2 linked regions of the Oryctolagus cuniculus genome follow. The protein of the gene in region 1 interacts with the protein of each later gene in a pairwise test. Links are inferred from orthologs where the notes say so. Each region holds a gene or a part of one and is shown on either strand. Other genes may lie near its edges.

Region 1 (7,828 bases):
CTTAACTCAGAGAACGTGGTAAAGCCAGCCTGTTCTAGAATTCAATTAAGAACATTATTAAATCATGACGTACCAATAATCATTACGCTAGCTACCCTAGAAAAAGTATATTGATTTCTTATGGATCCAAAATGGTGACCTATTCTTTAAGGCCAGGTGTCACATTCCTAACATCAGAACCTCTTTTCTTCTAACCAAAAATAACATGTAATTCTAAGGAAGGCCAAAAATATCAAATAATTCAAGGAAGCAGCATGCGTGCTTTAAAATTATCTCCAAGAAAAGGGCAACCCCTATAGCAGCTAGCACCATGAGACCTTGTTGAGCCATCTACCATCTCTACAGTATACTTTCATTTGAAAAGTGCAGCAAAGTCACCCAGGACAACGTATTATCAAACTCAATGTTATTTTGACATAAATACATCCTTCAGGCCGGCGCCGCGGCTCACTAGGCTAATCCTCCACCTTGCGGCGCCGGCACACCAGGTTCTAGTCCCGGTCGGGGCGCCGGATTCTGTCCCGGTTGCCCCTCTTCCAGGCCAGCTCTCTGCTGTGGCCAGGGAGTGCAGTGGAGGATGGCCCAAGTGCTTGGGCCCCTGTCCCTGCATAGAAGACCAGGAGGAAACAACTGGCTCCTGGCTTCGGATCAGTGTAGCTCTGGCCATTGTGGCCATTTGTGGGGTGAACCAATGGAAGGAAGACCTTTCTCTCTGTCTAACTCAGTCAAATAAATTAAAAAAAAAAAAAAACTTTTATTTGTTTTTATTTATTTCAAAGCCAGTGAGAGACAGAAACAGACAGAAGACAGAGATCTTCCATCCACTGGTTCACTCTCCAGATGCCTGCAACAGCTGGGGCTGGGCCAGGAGCTTCAAATTCAATATGGGCCTCCCACACTGGTGGCAGAGACATAACTACTTGAGACATGACCTACTGCTTCCCAGGGTGCACATAAGCAGAAAGCTGAAATTGAAAGCTGAGCCAGGACTAAAGCCAGGTGCTCCAATATGGAATGAGGCACCCCAAGTGGCATCTTACCTGCTGCGCCCAATGCCTGCTCCAAGGAGCAACACTTTTAATATTTTAACAGGATCTAGAGGCTGTATCTTAGGGCCGGCTTTGTGGCGTAGCAGGCTGAACCACTGCCTACAATGCCAGCATCCTATATGAATGCTGGTTTGAGTTCTGGCTTCTCTGCTTCTAAGCTAGCTCCATGCTAATGTGTCATAAACCTTTTATAAAAAATAAGTAAATAAATAAATCTTACATCTCTTTCAATTATAACTTCCTCAAATGGAAATGGCTATCTAGTGTGGCCATTAAGGTGCTGGCTAGGGATGCGTGCACCCCATGTCTGAGTGCCTAAGTTGAAGTTTCAGTGCAGATTTCAAAACCCAGCTTCCTGCTAATGCATACCCTGGGAGGCTGCAGTGGATTGCTCAGCGTTGACTTTGGTAAGAGTGCTTACCACCCATGTGAGAGACCTGCTCCAGGGATTTGGGAAGTAAACCAGTGGATGGGAACAGTCTCTCTCTCTCTCAAATAAACAAAATGTCCCCATGTGAATCTTCAAGTATAATAATTTTCTATAATTTCAAATAATACATATCAATCCATGTTTTTTCCAGATTTCTTACCTGTGTTGCCAAACTCAAAACCTGCTGGACCAACTCTTGTGTTTCTGATGGTTTCTTAAGAAACAGCTTCACTATGGCAGTAAGCAGAGTAAGCTGCACCTAAATAGAGAAAATTTGATAAAGCAGAAGACATTTGTATTTCCTGTCATCATTTCCAAAGTGGTATCTTATCAATTATGAACCAATATAAGTCCTTTCTAATTTTGGTTAAGAAACAAAAGTTGAAACTCAGCTAATTCAACAATAACAGTCAAAGATATTCATTTCAAAAACAAGGGTATTCAACTGAAAACTCACTAGCCTTCTATCCTGAAATTACATTTTGCACAGCAAAAATTCCTTATTCATTTCTCAGCCAGATAATCACATGTACTTTTTAAAATAACTGGAGGTGGGCATTGTAGGTTAAGCAGCCACTGGGGATGCTCACATCCCACATAAGAGGGCCGGTTCAAATCGCCAACTATTTCACTTCTGATCCAGTTCCCTGTTAATGTGCCTGGGAAGGCACTGGATGATGGCTTAAGTATTTAAGTCCTTGCCATCCATGTGGGAGACATGGATGGAGTTCTTGGCTCTTTACTTTGTCCTGGTCCAGCTCCAGCTGTTGTAGCCATTTGTGGAGTGAACCAGTGAGTGGAAGATCTCTTTCACTTTGCCTTTCAAATAAAAATATCTTTTAAAATAATACATGCTAAAATACTGATGGCTATAAAACTAGCTCCTGACCAAGTCTTTTATTATTTAGTGCTATGAAAAGCTACAATTTTGAGACAATTATGGAATCATCTGTCATACTGGAGCAACATCCAAGGCAGTAGAATTATGTCAGATCACAGCTACTGAGTCACAAAATTACTGGCTTGTATACACATTTCTTGTATTATGTCTCTTAAAATCACTATGGTGGGGTATACACATGAACTTCTATTTGCTGTGAGTACAAATACCAAGGAGCTTACTGATGTGTCTGCTTCTCTAGCCTTGTAGCTTTAACTGTGGTAGGGGAGAGTGATGGGCGACAGGAAGGAGTCTATCCTCTCCCTCTTCCTTTCCCTCTCCCTCTCCCTGCAGTTGGAGGTGAAAATCCCTGCTGTATTGAGCCAAACCACTACTAATAGAAATGTATGATCGTTCTTAGTCTATAGGAAATAAAAACTGGTGACTTAGGCTGTAAACCAGTGGTTCTCAAAGTGAGGTTTTGGACCAGGACCTTTTAATTATACAAGTACTTGGATCTATCTCAGACCTACTGAGTCAGACATGGTGGAGACCAGAGGTCCAGAGGCTTTAAAAAGCCTCCAGGTGCTTCTAATCCTCATTAAAGTTTCAGAACCACTGGTCTAAATTTATTACACTAGAAATCAGTATACAAATGAAAAGGGTCATCCCTTTTGGATGAAAAATCAACATGCTACAGGTGGAGAAACCCTAATCTGAAAATCAAAAATCTGAAATGCTCCAAAATCCAAAACTTTTAAAGCACAGACATGACAACACAAGTGGAAAATTCCACACCCAACTTAAAGTGATGGGTTGCAGGGCCGGCGCCGCGGCTCAATAGGCTAATCCTCCACCTAGCGGCGCCGGCACACCAGGTTCTAGTCTTGGTCGGGGCGCCAGATTCTGTCCCGGTTGCCCCTCTTCCAGGCCAGCTCTCTGGGAAGGCAGTGGAGGATGGCCCAAGTGCTTGGGCCCTGCACCCCATGGGAGACCAGGAGGAGCACCTGGCTCCTGCCTTCGGATCAGCGTGGTGTGCTGGCCGCAGCGTGCCGGCCGCGGCGGCCATTGGAGGGTGAACCAACAGCAAAAGGAAGACCTTTCTCTCTGTCTCTCTCTCTACTGTCCACTCTGCCTGTCAAAAAAAAAAGTGATGGGTTGCAGTCAAAATGCATGCATGCTAAAAACATTCTATAAAAATACCTTTAGGCTATGTGTATAAGGTATATGAGACATAAATGAATTTTCTGTTTAGACTTGGATTTCATCCCCAAGATATTTATCTCATTATGTACATGGAAATACTTCAAAGTTTGAAAAAACTCAAAATATGAAATATTTCTTGGTTCTAAGCATTTGGGGTACAGGATGCTCAACCTGAGCATATACATAAATACATACACACTCAAATCTTTACTTTTTCTGAAGTCTTCCCACAGACACAGGACACAGGATGGCTGAAAGTTTACCTGGGTGCTCTCATCATGAAAACCCTCCAGGAAGCTCTCCAGTAACTCATCTGCATTGTCAATTCTCTCAGCATATTCTCCTACAATCCAGATCATAGCCGCTCGAGCATCTGGTTCATCCAGGGAGTCTAAGTTCTCACACAGAGTGGCGATGATACTTTCATACCTGAAGCAACAAGAGACTATGGTTACTGAGGACAAAACAAAGAACACATTTCAGAGTTAAAGTTAAAAGCAAACCATGAACAAGGGATCCTAAAACAAGCCACCAAACTAGAAAAGCTTTTATAGTTAAGAAAATATATAAGTATTAAGTCAGAAGATTATAATTAGCTTTCAATTTTTTTAAAAGATTTATTTTATTATATTTGAAAGGCAGAATTACAGATAGAGAGAGAGAGAGAGAGAGAGAGAGAGATTGATTGATTGATTTTCTGCTGGTTTGCTCCCCAAATGGCTCTAACAGCCAGGGTTGGGCCAGGCTGAAACCAGGAGTGAGGAGCTTCATCCAGGTCTCCCACATGAGTGTGGGGACCCAAGCACTTGAGACATCTTCTGCTGCTTCCCCAGGCATATTAGCAGGGAGTTGGATCAGAAGTGGAGCAGCCGGTACTCAAACTGGCACCCAAATGGGATGTCAGTATAGCAGGCAGTGGCTTAACCTGTTATACCACAATGCCAGCTGTTCAATTATGCTTTAAGACTTAACTCATAAACTTTTATTAAAACTCATCAGGTATTATTTCTCAAGGGAAAATAAACCTGTGGTTGTTAAGATACTACAACTACTTGGTATTCTAGTAATCTTTCTTACAACTAGATCGAGAATTTTCCTATTATTCCATTTGACTTCATTCTAGAGAGGAAGAGAAATCTTTACTTTTAGAAAAATGGAGTTAGAAAACAACAATTTTCAGATAATTTTGTCCCTTAATCCACTTACCTCTCCTTTAAAAAATTATTTATTTGAAAGGCAGAGTTGCAGAGAGAGAGGGAGAGACAGATCTTCCAATTGGCCACAACAGCCAGATCTGGACCAGGATGAAGCCCAGGAGCTTCTTCCAGGTCTCCCACAGGGGTACAGGGGCCCAACCACTTCGGCAATCTTTTGCTACTTTTCCAAGCAGTTAGCAGGGAGCTGGATCAGAAATTGAGCAGCCAGTACATGAATTGACACCCACAGGGGATGCTAGCATTGCCTAAACCTCCTATGCCACAATGCCCCTTATCTCTCCTTTTTATAACAGGTATGGTTATGTTCTTTCTTCTCGAAGCACAAACAAAAATATTTCTCCAAAGGAAGAAATAACTCAAAAATTTATTATTATTTTTATAGACATGTTAAAACCATCTATCTGGCTAACATGATTGTAAACATCAGAATGATACATATAATAAATTAGAAGCAAACAACTGAATAGTACACTTGTCTGCCCTACTTCCACTGATTAAACCAGACTCCTGATTGCTTTCTTAGAACTGTCATGACCCCTTAATAACAAAAACAAAATGCATTTGTCTTCTTATTTCATACTATGTAACTAATACAGCATCATACTTAATTAAGAAATTGAAAAACCCAATCCTCAGGGGGCCAGTGCTGTGGCTCAGTGGACTGGGCCTCTGCCTGCAGTGCCAACATCCCACATGGGTGCCAGTTCATGTGTTGGCTGCTCCTCTTTCAATCTGGCTCTCTGCTGTGGCCTGGGAAGGCAGTGGAGGATGGCCTAGGTGCTTGGGTCCCTGTGCTGGCGTGGAAGACCTGGAGTAGGCTCCTAGCTCCTGTCTTTAGATGATCCCAGCGCCGGTTGCTACAGCCATTTGGGGATGAGCCAGCGGATGGAGGACCTTTCTCTCTGTCTTTCCCTCTGTCTATTATTCTACCTTTCAAATAAACAAAATCTTAAAAAAAAAAAAAAAAAAAATCCTTCTCTTTTCTGGGAGAATGGCAAAAATATATGGTCTCTTCTTCAAAAACACCATTTCTAAAATTTTTAGAAATATATACAATGCTTAATACACCATTACTTTGCCAAAATATTTTTACTAATTCTTTTTTTAAAAGATTTATTAATTATTTTGAAAGGCAGAGTTACAAAGAGACAGAGGCAGAGAGAGAGAAAGAGAGATAGAAAGAGATGGGTCTTCTATCCACTGGTTTACTCCCCAAATGGCCACAATGGTCAGAGCTAGGCCAATCTGAAGCCAGGAGCCAGGAGCCTCCTCTGGGTCTCCCATGCAGGTGCAGGGGCTGAAGGACTTGGGTCATCTTCTACTGCTTTCCTAGGCCATAGCAGGGAGCAGGATTGGAAGTGGAGCAGCCAGGACTCAAACCAGCACCCATATGGGATGCCAGCACTGGGGGCAGCATTCTTACGGCTATACCACAGAGCCTGCCCTTCCACTAATTCTTGAGCATACCACCAAGCCAACTTACTACATTATCTTTAAGACTAATCAGGAGCTTCAGCAAAGCTATCTCTATTACTGTAAAAGCAAAATGAGATTTCATTGTTATTTCACTGTTTCAGATTCTTCAATTGCTTGCTTTCATCATCTAACCTAGGACACTAACATCCCATATCAGAGTGCCCTGGGTTTGAGCTTCAGCTCTACTCCAGATTCCAGCTTCCTGCTGCCGCACACCCTGCAAAGTGTCAGGTGACAGTTCAGCTGAGTCCCTGACATCCATGTGGGAGACCTAGACTGCATTCCCAGCAAACTGATTTGGCCTATTTTTAATTAATTAACTAATTAACTTCATTTGAAAGGCACAGCTACAGACAGAGAGATCTTCTATCTGCTGTTTCACTCTCTAAATACCTGCAACAGCCAAGACTGGGCCAAGTCAAAGCCAGGAGCCAGAAGCTTTATCCAGGTCTCTCACATGGGTGTCAGGGACATAAGTACTTGAGCCATCACTTGCTGCCTCCCGGGGTGCACAATGGCAGAATGCTGGAATTGGTAGTGGAGGCAGGACTCAATTCCAGGCACTCTGATATGGGATGTTGCTTCCCATGGGGCAGCTTAACAGCTATGCCTCGATAGCCACCCCTAGGTATTCTCGTTAACGGCAACTTCACCATCAAAGATTCTGGTTGGGGTCTATGCATTTGGTGCAGCCATTAAGCTGGTATTTGGGATGTCTAAATTCCATATTGGAGTGTGCAGGTTCAACTGCCAGTTCTACTCCCAATTCCAGCTTCCTGCTAATGTGCATCTGGTAGGCAGTGAATGACGGCTCAAGTAATTGAGTCCCTGCCACCCATGTGGGAGACCTGGATTGAGATCCAGGCTTCTGGGCTGGTCCAACCCTAGCTGTTCTGGGCATTTGTGAGTGAACTAGCGGATGGGGGATCTCTCTCTGCCTTTCAAATAAATTTTTAAAAAACTAAAAAATAATATAAAAATACAGTACAAACAAAATGTTTTTAAATTTTTATTTGATAGGTAGAGTTAGAGACAGTGAGAGAGACAGAGAGAAAGGTCCTCCTTCCATTGGTTCACTCCCCTAATGGCCACCACGGCCGGTGCTGCGCCAGGAGCCAGGTGCCAGGTGCTTCCTCCCGGTCTCCCATGCAGGTGCAGGGACCCAAGCACCTGGGCCATCCTCCACTGCCCTCCTGGGCCACAGCAGAGAGCTGGACTGGAAGAGGAGCAACCAGGACTAGTACCCGGTGCCCCAACCGGGACGAGAACCCGGGGTGCCGGCGCCACAGGCAGATGATTAGTCAAGTGAGCCATGGCGCCGGTCACAAAATGCTTTTTTTTAAAAACAAAGAATCTGGTTATGTTAACCATAAAATATATTAATTTATCATGTATATTCAGGCAGGTTTTCATTTCTTTTAAAGTAATAAAGCAGAGTGAAAATTCAAACTTTAGTTAAAAAGAGTACTTCTCGGCCGGCGCCGCGGCTCACTAGGCTAATCCTCCACCTTGCGGCGCCGGCACACTGGGTTCTAGTCCCGGTTGGGGCACCAGATTCTGTCCCGGTTGC
Region 2 (7,275 bases), on another chromosome or scaffold:
ACGCAGCAGGGCGGGGCCGGGACCAAGACGGGGGTTTGGAAGGGCACTTGGGTGGAGTCACAGCACTCATTACACCTGCTGCGCCCCCATGCACAGCCAGAAGGAAGAGGAGGACAGACAGGAGCTCACCCTGATGGCATGGCTGTGGCAGGTCCAGGTCGAGGGCAATCACAGAAGAGACTTAGGTACCCAGCTCCTCAAGTCAGAAAGCAGAAGGCTTGGGTGGCAGAGAACCATTGCCTCCAACCGACGAAGCTGTTCTCACTGCCACGGAGAACTGCCTCCCACACAGAAGGAGCCACTGCCTGGGCAGGGCCAGGATCCGAGTGCAGAAGGAAAGTGGACAGGATGGTAAAACTGTGTACACACATGTGTGTATGAGCACATACGGGTATACAGTGTGGACCTACATGTGCGCGCTGTGACATGTGTATGTGGCTGTATGTGTGTGTCTTGCACAGGCGTGTGCTGCATGTGTATGTGTGTGCAGTGTGCAGGCATATGTATGCATGTGTAACACGAATATGCACCTGTGAGTATACAAGGGGTATTCAAGTGGTGCGTTATCTTTTAATTCCATTTTCCACAATTTTTTGTTTTTCTAAAGATTTATTTATTTATTTTGAAAGTCAGGGTTACAGAGAGAGAGAGGAGAGACAGAGATCTTCCATCTGCTGGTTCACTCCCGAGATGGCTGCGACAGCCAGGGCTGAGCCAGACCAAAGCCAGGAGCCAGGAACTTCTTCCAGGTCTCCCATGTGGGTGCAGGGGCCCAGGCACTCGGGCCATCCTCCACTGCTTTCCCAGACCATTAGCAGGGAGCTGGATCAGAAGTGGAGCAGCCAGACTTGAAACAGCGTCGATGTGGGATGCCGGTGTCACAGGCGGTGGTGGCTTTACCCGCTGTGCCACAAACTGTTTGAAGTTCCCTTCCACATATATTTCTAAAGCAATGAGATTTTCAACTCCACTCATAAAAAAAAAAAAAAAAAAGCACAAATTAAAGTCAGACAGCAGTGGTCTGACAGTGGCCTGAGGACCAAGGCTGTTGGCAAGGGGCAGCAGACCTGGAGGGGACGGCCCCATCAGGCCCTGGAAGGAACCCTACCCCAGGGCCAGGGGTTCACCAGCTGGCCCTGAGTAGGAGGAGGAGGGAGCTCTGCAGGGCACAGGTGCAGTGAGTCCTGGACGAGCCCGGCAGCGGGGGGGGGGGGGGGGGGTACAGGACAGTCGTGGTCCCAGAGGAAGGAGGTTAGGAGCAACTTGAGCACCAAAATACCAGAATTTAAAGAAGAAAAAAAAAAAGCCAAGCCGGGGGAGGAGGAAGCGGTCTGCCGGGCTGGCGTCCGGGGCTGGGGGTGGGGGTGGGCGCCAGCCCAGGGGGCGCCGTCAGCACTTTGCACGCCTTCCGGGAACACACTCATTGTTTCCGTCCCTCCGGGGCCCATGTCCCATGTGTCAGCGCTGCCAGCCCCACCCACAACCCTGCCTCAACCCAGCTGCTGAGCTGCAGCTCCTCAGTGGCCCTGGTGTGGCCAGCCTGGACATGGGGGAGCGAGCCTCCGGGCTGAGCCACAGCGGGGGGGACCCAGAGCATGAGCCCCCAGCCCAGCCTGAGCCCTGCCTTGAGGTGTTTGGACAGGGACACTGTCCCACCACACCCTCTGCCCACTCCTTCCTGGGCATCGCAGGTGGGCAGGGACTGGACACAGGCAGGGGGCCCGTGCCCAGCACTGCTGGATGGAGTGGGAGCCCTGGCTGGGATCCTGACACAGTACCCAGGGTCGGCAAGTCACTCAGTCCATACCAGGGCAGAGAGAACCATTGATCAGGCCACGTGGAATCAGTGTGCAGTATAGACAGAACCCCCTTGTCTGCAGGAAGTTAGAGGTGCAGTGTAGACAGACCCCTCCTTGTCTGCAGGGAGTTAGAGGTGCAGTGTAGACAGAACCCCCTTGTCTGCAGGAAGTCAGTGTGCAGTGTAGACAGAACCCCCTTGTCTATAGGGAGTCAGTGTGCAGTGTAGACAGACCCCCCTTGTCTGCAGGGAGTTAGTGTGCAGTGTAGACAGACCCCTCCTTGTCTGCAGAGAGTCAGTGTGCAGTGCAGACAGAACCCCCTTTGTCTACAGGGAGTCAGTGTGCAGTGTAGACAGACCCCTCCTTGTCTATAGGGAGTCAGTGTGCAGTGTGGACAGAACCCCCTTGTCTATAGGGAATCAGTGTGCAGTGTAGACAGACCCCTCCTTGTCTGCAGGGAGTTAGAGGTGTAGTGTAGACAGACCACCCTTGTCTTCAGGGAGTTAGAGATGCAGTGTAGACAGACCCCCCCTTGTCTGCAGGGAGTTAGAGGTGCAGTGTAGACAGACCCCCCTTGTCTGCAGAGGTGCAGTGTAGACAGAACCCCTTGTCTGCAGAGAGTCAGTGTGCAGTGTAGACAGACCCCTCCTTGTCTGCAGGGAGTCAGTGTACAGTGCAGACAGAACCCCCTTTGTCTACAGGGAGTCAGTGTGCAGTGTAGACAGAACCCCTTTGTCTACAGGGAGTCAGTGTGCAGTGTGGACAGAACCCCTTGTCTGTTGGGAGTTAGAGGTGCAGTGTAGACAGACCCCCTTGTCTACAGAGAGTCAGTGTGCAGTATAGACAGAACCCCTCCTTGTCTACAGGGAGTCAGTGTGCAGTGTAGACAGAACCCCTTGTCTGCAGGGAGTTAGAGGTGCAGTGTAGACAACCCCTTGTCTACAGGGAGTTAGAGGTGCAGTGTAGACAGAACCACCCTTGTCTGCAGGGAGCCAGTGTGCAGTGTAGATATACACCCCCAGCCCATGGTGTCTAGGCGGACTCGAGCCTGGGAGAAGTAGGGATTGGAGGGTCCACTGCAGGCCCCTCTGGCCTCCCCGACTGGCTCTCACACAGTCGCTCTGCCCCTGTGGTGCACCCCGATGCTTCCCCACAGCCTCTGTCCTTGGGCAGCCCCCTCAGCCCGTGTCAAGCCAGCTTCTCTAGCAACACACTGGCTGGGGAGGGGAAATTTGGTGGGGGTCCAAGGCCCTCCCCATTTGGTGGAAAGAAACACCCACCTGGACTCTCACCTGTTTATTCAGCATTTGTGAGCCAGGGTGTGAGAAAGAAGACTCGCCGCAGCCATCCCCGGGCCCGGGCTCTCTGAGGTCCCAACGCCCGCTCAGGCAGCCTCAGAAGGAAGCCGGCCATCACCCAGGGTCAGCTGGTCCCCAGCCCGGCCACCCCCACGGCTGCCATGAGAGCCGCCCCAGCCCTGCCAGAGCTCCCTCCCCCTCTCCCAGGGTTCTGTCCATGCTGGGGTGACCCCGGCCTCCCACAGCCTGCGTCGGCCATCAGGAGGACTGGCAGGTCCCGGAAGGCTTGTCCGTGCAGCTGGGCGGCTGGCGGCCGGGGGGAATGTTCTCCAGGACTTCGTCCAGCGAGAACAAGCAGAAGGAGAGCTCCTCGTAAGAGGCCCTGGCCCCACTCTCGAACAGGCAGGCGAAGGCCGGGGCTCCCGCAAGGACAGGCCCGAGGGACGCCAGGTCCGAGTAGCCGCTAGGGCCCTCGTAGATCACCCAGGGCACCGTCCAACTGCGGGGGTCCAGGGGGGTGCGGCTCAGGCGGACCCCCATGTGGAGCCGAGCCCTGCGCCCCGTGGGGTGTGAGTACAGCAGCCAGGCAGGCCTCTGAGGGGACACCGCAGAGGCTGCAGGGAGCCCCCCAGGCCCCACCGCTGGGCCAGATTGTCCCAGCCCAGCACTCCGGGCCTGCGGGAGGCAGGAGGGCCCGCAGGGCACCTGGGGTTCACAGGGGCCTCCAGCACCAGCCTCTGGGGCTTCCTGGAATCCAGGACAGAGGTGCACACAGTGAGGGAGGCTCCTGGTGCCTGTGGACGCTCCGTCACCCTGGGGTCTGCTGGGGGGTGGGGCTGGGAAGCCCACGATGCTGCCCTGGCAGCCCCGGGCCGTCTCGGCAAGGGCAGGCACCAGCTCCCCAGCCAGGAAGGAGCTGCCCCCGTCGGTGCTCAGGGCCTGCACACGGCTGCCCAGGGGGCTCCGGGCATTGCAGTAGAGGAGGCTGTCCCCCAGTGCGGCCAGCTGGCACTCGCCCGAGCGCAGGTTGGGCACGAGGCCCCCGTGGCGCCAGGTGCTGCCGTGGTCGTCACTGTAAAAGGCGAAGGAGTGGGGGCTGGTCCGGCAGATCTTCCCAAAGCACTCGCGACGGTCCACATGGTAGGTGTAGGCAGGCACCAGCAGGCGGCCTGAGTGCAGCTGGACACCATGGCCTGGGCCCACTGCGAAGGTGGCCCAGTCTACAGAGGGCAGAGGTGGAGGTGGGGGTGGAGATGGGGGCACAGGAGGGCAGCGAGGGCACATGCCTGGGATTAGGGCAGCGGGCAGGCAGGCCGCCCCTCCACACTCCACTCTGAGGCCTTCCTGGCTGGACAAGCCTCCCATGGGCATTGCAGGAGCCCAGGAGCCCACTGAGCCAGGCTCTTGCCAGCCCAGAATCAGGGTACCTGGTATGAGTGATGCCCAGATGGACGGAGCAGCAGAGGGCGGAGCCTCAGAGGGGAGGTGCTACAGCCCTCCAAAGTGTCAGAGCTCTGGGGGAGGGGGCAGCAGCAGGGGAGGGAAGCCTGGGGCTTGGGCCAGGCCTGGGCAGGAGTGCTGGGTTTGGGGGAGGGGATGACCTCTACAGATAAAGACCTGAGAGCCTGTGGTTCAGCTGTGGCCGCTGCTCCTGCCCTGCCCCAGGCGGCCAGAGGGTGAGGAAGGGATGCTAATGTTGGCTGGGACTGAGAAGCCCGGGGGTGATGGACAGTGCCAGAAAAGGGTGGACTGGTAGGGCCTCCCACACATGTGGACTGAGGGACCCCCGCTGCCTACCCTGCACAGCGTCGCCAATGGCCTCCTCGGTGAGGTCCCGGGCGCTGCTCCAGGTGAAACCGGCGTCGCGGCTGGTCACACAGCAGAGGCGGGCGGCGTTCCTGCCTGTAGTAATCTGAACGGCCTCGGACGTGTGGCCCAGCACGGCAATGAAGAAGAGGAAGATGGTGCCGGTGCTGGTGTCGTGCACGGGGCAGGGGTTCATGGAGCGGTGGCCTTGCAGGGCTGCAGCATCCAGCACACACAGGGCACCCCACTGCAGATGGGGGGGGCTGTGCTCAGGACTCCCAGACCAAGGCACCCTGCCAGCCACCCTCAGTCTCCCTGCATGCTGCCCTCTCCTGGAGCCCCTGCCCACCCTATCGCTCACCCGCACAGAGCCCCTGGCCAGCGTGCCCCTCCTCAGCACCAGGCGGTGGGCATGGGAGTCATCCGGGCTGAGCCGCTGCTCCGCGAAGGCCAGCAGGGTGGGCCCAGGGGGCACGGGGAGCAGTGCAGGCACGCGGTAGGTCAGGCCGGTCCGCTCCCGCTGGAACAGCACGGTCCGGGTGGGGACACGAGGGGGCTCCATGCTCTGCTGATCACAGCAGGCTGCAGGGAGCTGCATTGAGGATGGGGCACGACAGGTACAGCCATCCCCCATCCCGGCCAGCACCCAGGCCCCTCCCTGTGCGTGCCTCGGGGACAGCCCTGTCTGCAGTTCCTTCACCCCAGGGAAGCCACTCCCCACACTGACTTTTCCCCTAGTGCTTGTGGAGCCAGCCCCTCCTGTCAGCACACGGAGACACACACAGGGACACACATGGACAGACAGACACACACACAGGGACAGACAGACACACACAGGGACATACAGAGACACATGAGGACACATGAACACACAGCAACACACAGGGACACACACAGACATGCAGGGACACACAGGGACACACACATGGACACACAGAGACATAGACAGACACACAGGGACACATGAACACACAGCAACACACAGGGACACACAGAGGGACACACACAGACATGCAGGGACACACACGGAGACACACACACACAGACACACATGGGCAGACACACACAGACACACAGGGACACATGAACACACAGGGACACATGGATACGCAGGGACACATGAACACACAGGAACACGCACACAGACACACAGGGACACACAGCAACACACAGGGACACACAGACACAGAGGGGCACACACAAACATTCAGGGACACACATGGAGACACACACAGATGGACACATAGGGACACACAGGAGCAGACATACAAAGACACACACAGACACACAGGGACACATGAACACACAGGGACACACAGACAGAGGGACACACACAGAGACACACAGGGACACACAGAGGGACACATACAGGCATGCAGGGACACATGAACACACAGGGACACACACAGACACACAAGGACACACTGGGAACCTTTGGCCAACCCAAAGTAGGGGGAGGGGTGGGGTGGGAATGGACCCCAAGTGGCTCCCAGGTGTGCCCTGAGTCCCAGGGGTGCGCATGCCAGACTCCTAGAGGGACCCCGAGGGCCACAGGGCCACAACCACTCCCCACCGAGCCCTCCCAGCGAGAGGAGCCACACGGCTGGTGAGTGTGGACTGCAGCTGGAGACAGCAGCAATGGAAGGGAGATGAGAGGCCCCCAGGAGCCAGGGCACATGCAGGACAGAAGCTGGGGCTGGAGGCCAGGTGGGCTTCCTGGAGGTGGGGGGGGGGGGAGGAGTATGGCAGAAGCTGCACATCACTCAAGGTCGGGAGAGCAGGTGTGGGAAAAGCCCTCCCTCCCACGGCCACCCTCAACCCTGTCCCTCAGCCACTTCCCAAACCTGGTGTTCAGTACAGCACCAGCAGGGCTCCTTCAGGGGACACGTGTGACCCCCCTCTTCTAGCAGCTGCTCCCTGACCTTGCATACCCACCTGCAGGGCCCTTACCTGGGCACCTGAGCAGCACAGGAAACGGACACCCCCTGCCCAGCACGGGCCCAAGACAGCCTCAGCCCTGTGAGTGGGCCCCAAGTGAGCCCCCAGCACAGAGCAGTGCCAGGTGGAGGCGTCTGGGGCGAGGTCAGCTTGCCAAGGCCACCCCGCCAGCCTGCTCAGCTCAGCCAGCCCAGCAGGTGCAGGGCCCTATCTGGTTTACAGAGGCGGATCCAGGCCGTGAGAGGGTGCCCAGTCCGGCACATAGAGGGGGAAAGATGCCACAGACGAGGAGGACCAGAGCAGTCGGGCCCACAGCCAGCCACCCCGGCCAGGCCACAGCCAGGCCATACACAGAGAGAAACAGGAGGAGGCAGCAGAACCCCACAGAGCCACTGAAGCACATGGAGACAGCTGGGCCCCGTGTGCTGCAGCGT

Evidence for each region. The genes of interacting proteins can lie anywhere in the genome.
Region 2: the proteins of AP2B1 (region 1) and NEU4 interact in binary tests that used the Homo sapiens proteins (3 or more experiments, as listed by UniProt). The two-hybrid records come from large-scale screens. The link is inferred for Oryctolagus cuniculus from reciprocal best matches to the Homo sapiens genes AP2B1 and NEU4.

What each region holds. Positions count from the first base shown.
Region 1 is NC_091448.1:38,972,217-38,980,044, forward strand, and holds part of AP2B1 (AP-2 complex subunit beta), read right to left. Parts: intron 3,995-7,828; coding exon 3,829-3,994; intron 1,739-3,828; coding exon 1,640-1,738; intron 1-1,639. UniProt on the Homo sapiens protein: Component of the adaptor protein complex 2 (AP-2). Adaptor protein complexes function in protein transport via transport vesicles in different membrane traffic pathways.
Region 2 is NC_091434.1:76,805-84,079, forward strand, and holds the end of NEU4 (sialidase-4), read right to left. Parts: exon of another isoform or gene 6,854-7,275; intron 5,486-6,853; 5' UTR 5,466-5,485; coding exon 5,265-5,465; intron 5,151-5,264; coding exon 4,895-5,150; intron 4,318-4,894; coding exon 3,356-4,317; 3' UTR 3,085-3,355; downstream 1-3,084. UniProt on the Homo sapiens protein: Exo-alpha-sialidase that catalyzes the hydrolytic cleavage of the terminal sialic acid (N-acetylneuraminic acid, Neu5Ac) of a glycan moiety in the catabolism of glycolipids, glycoproteins and oligosacharides.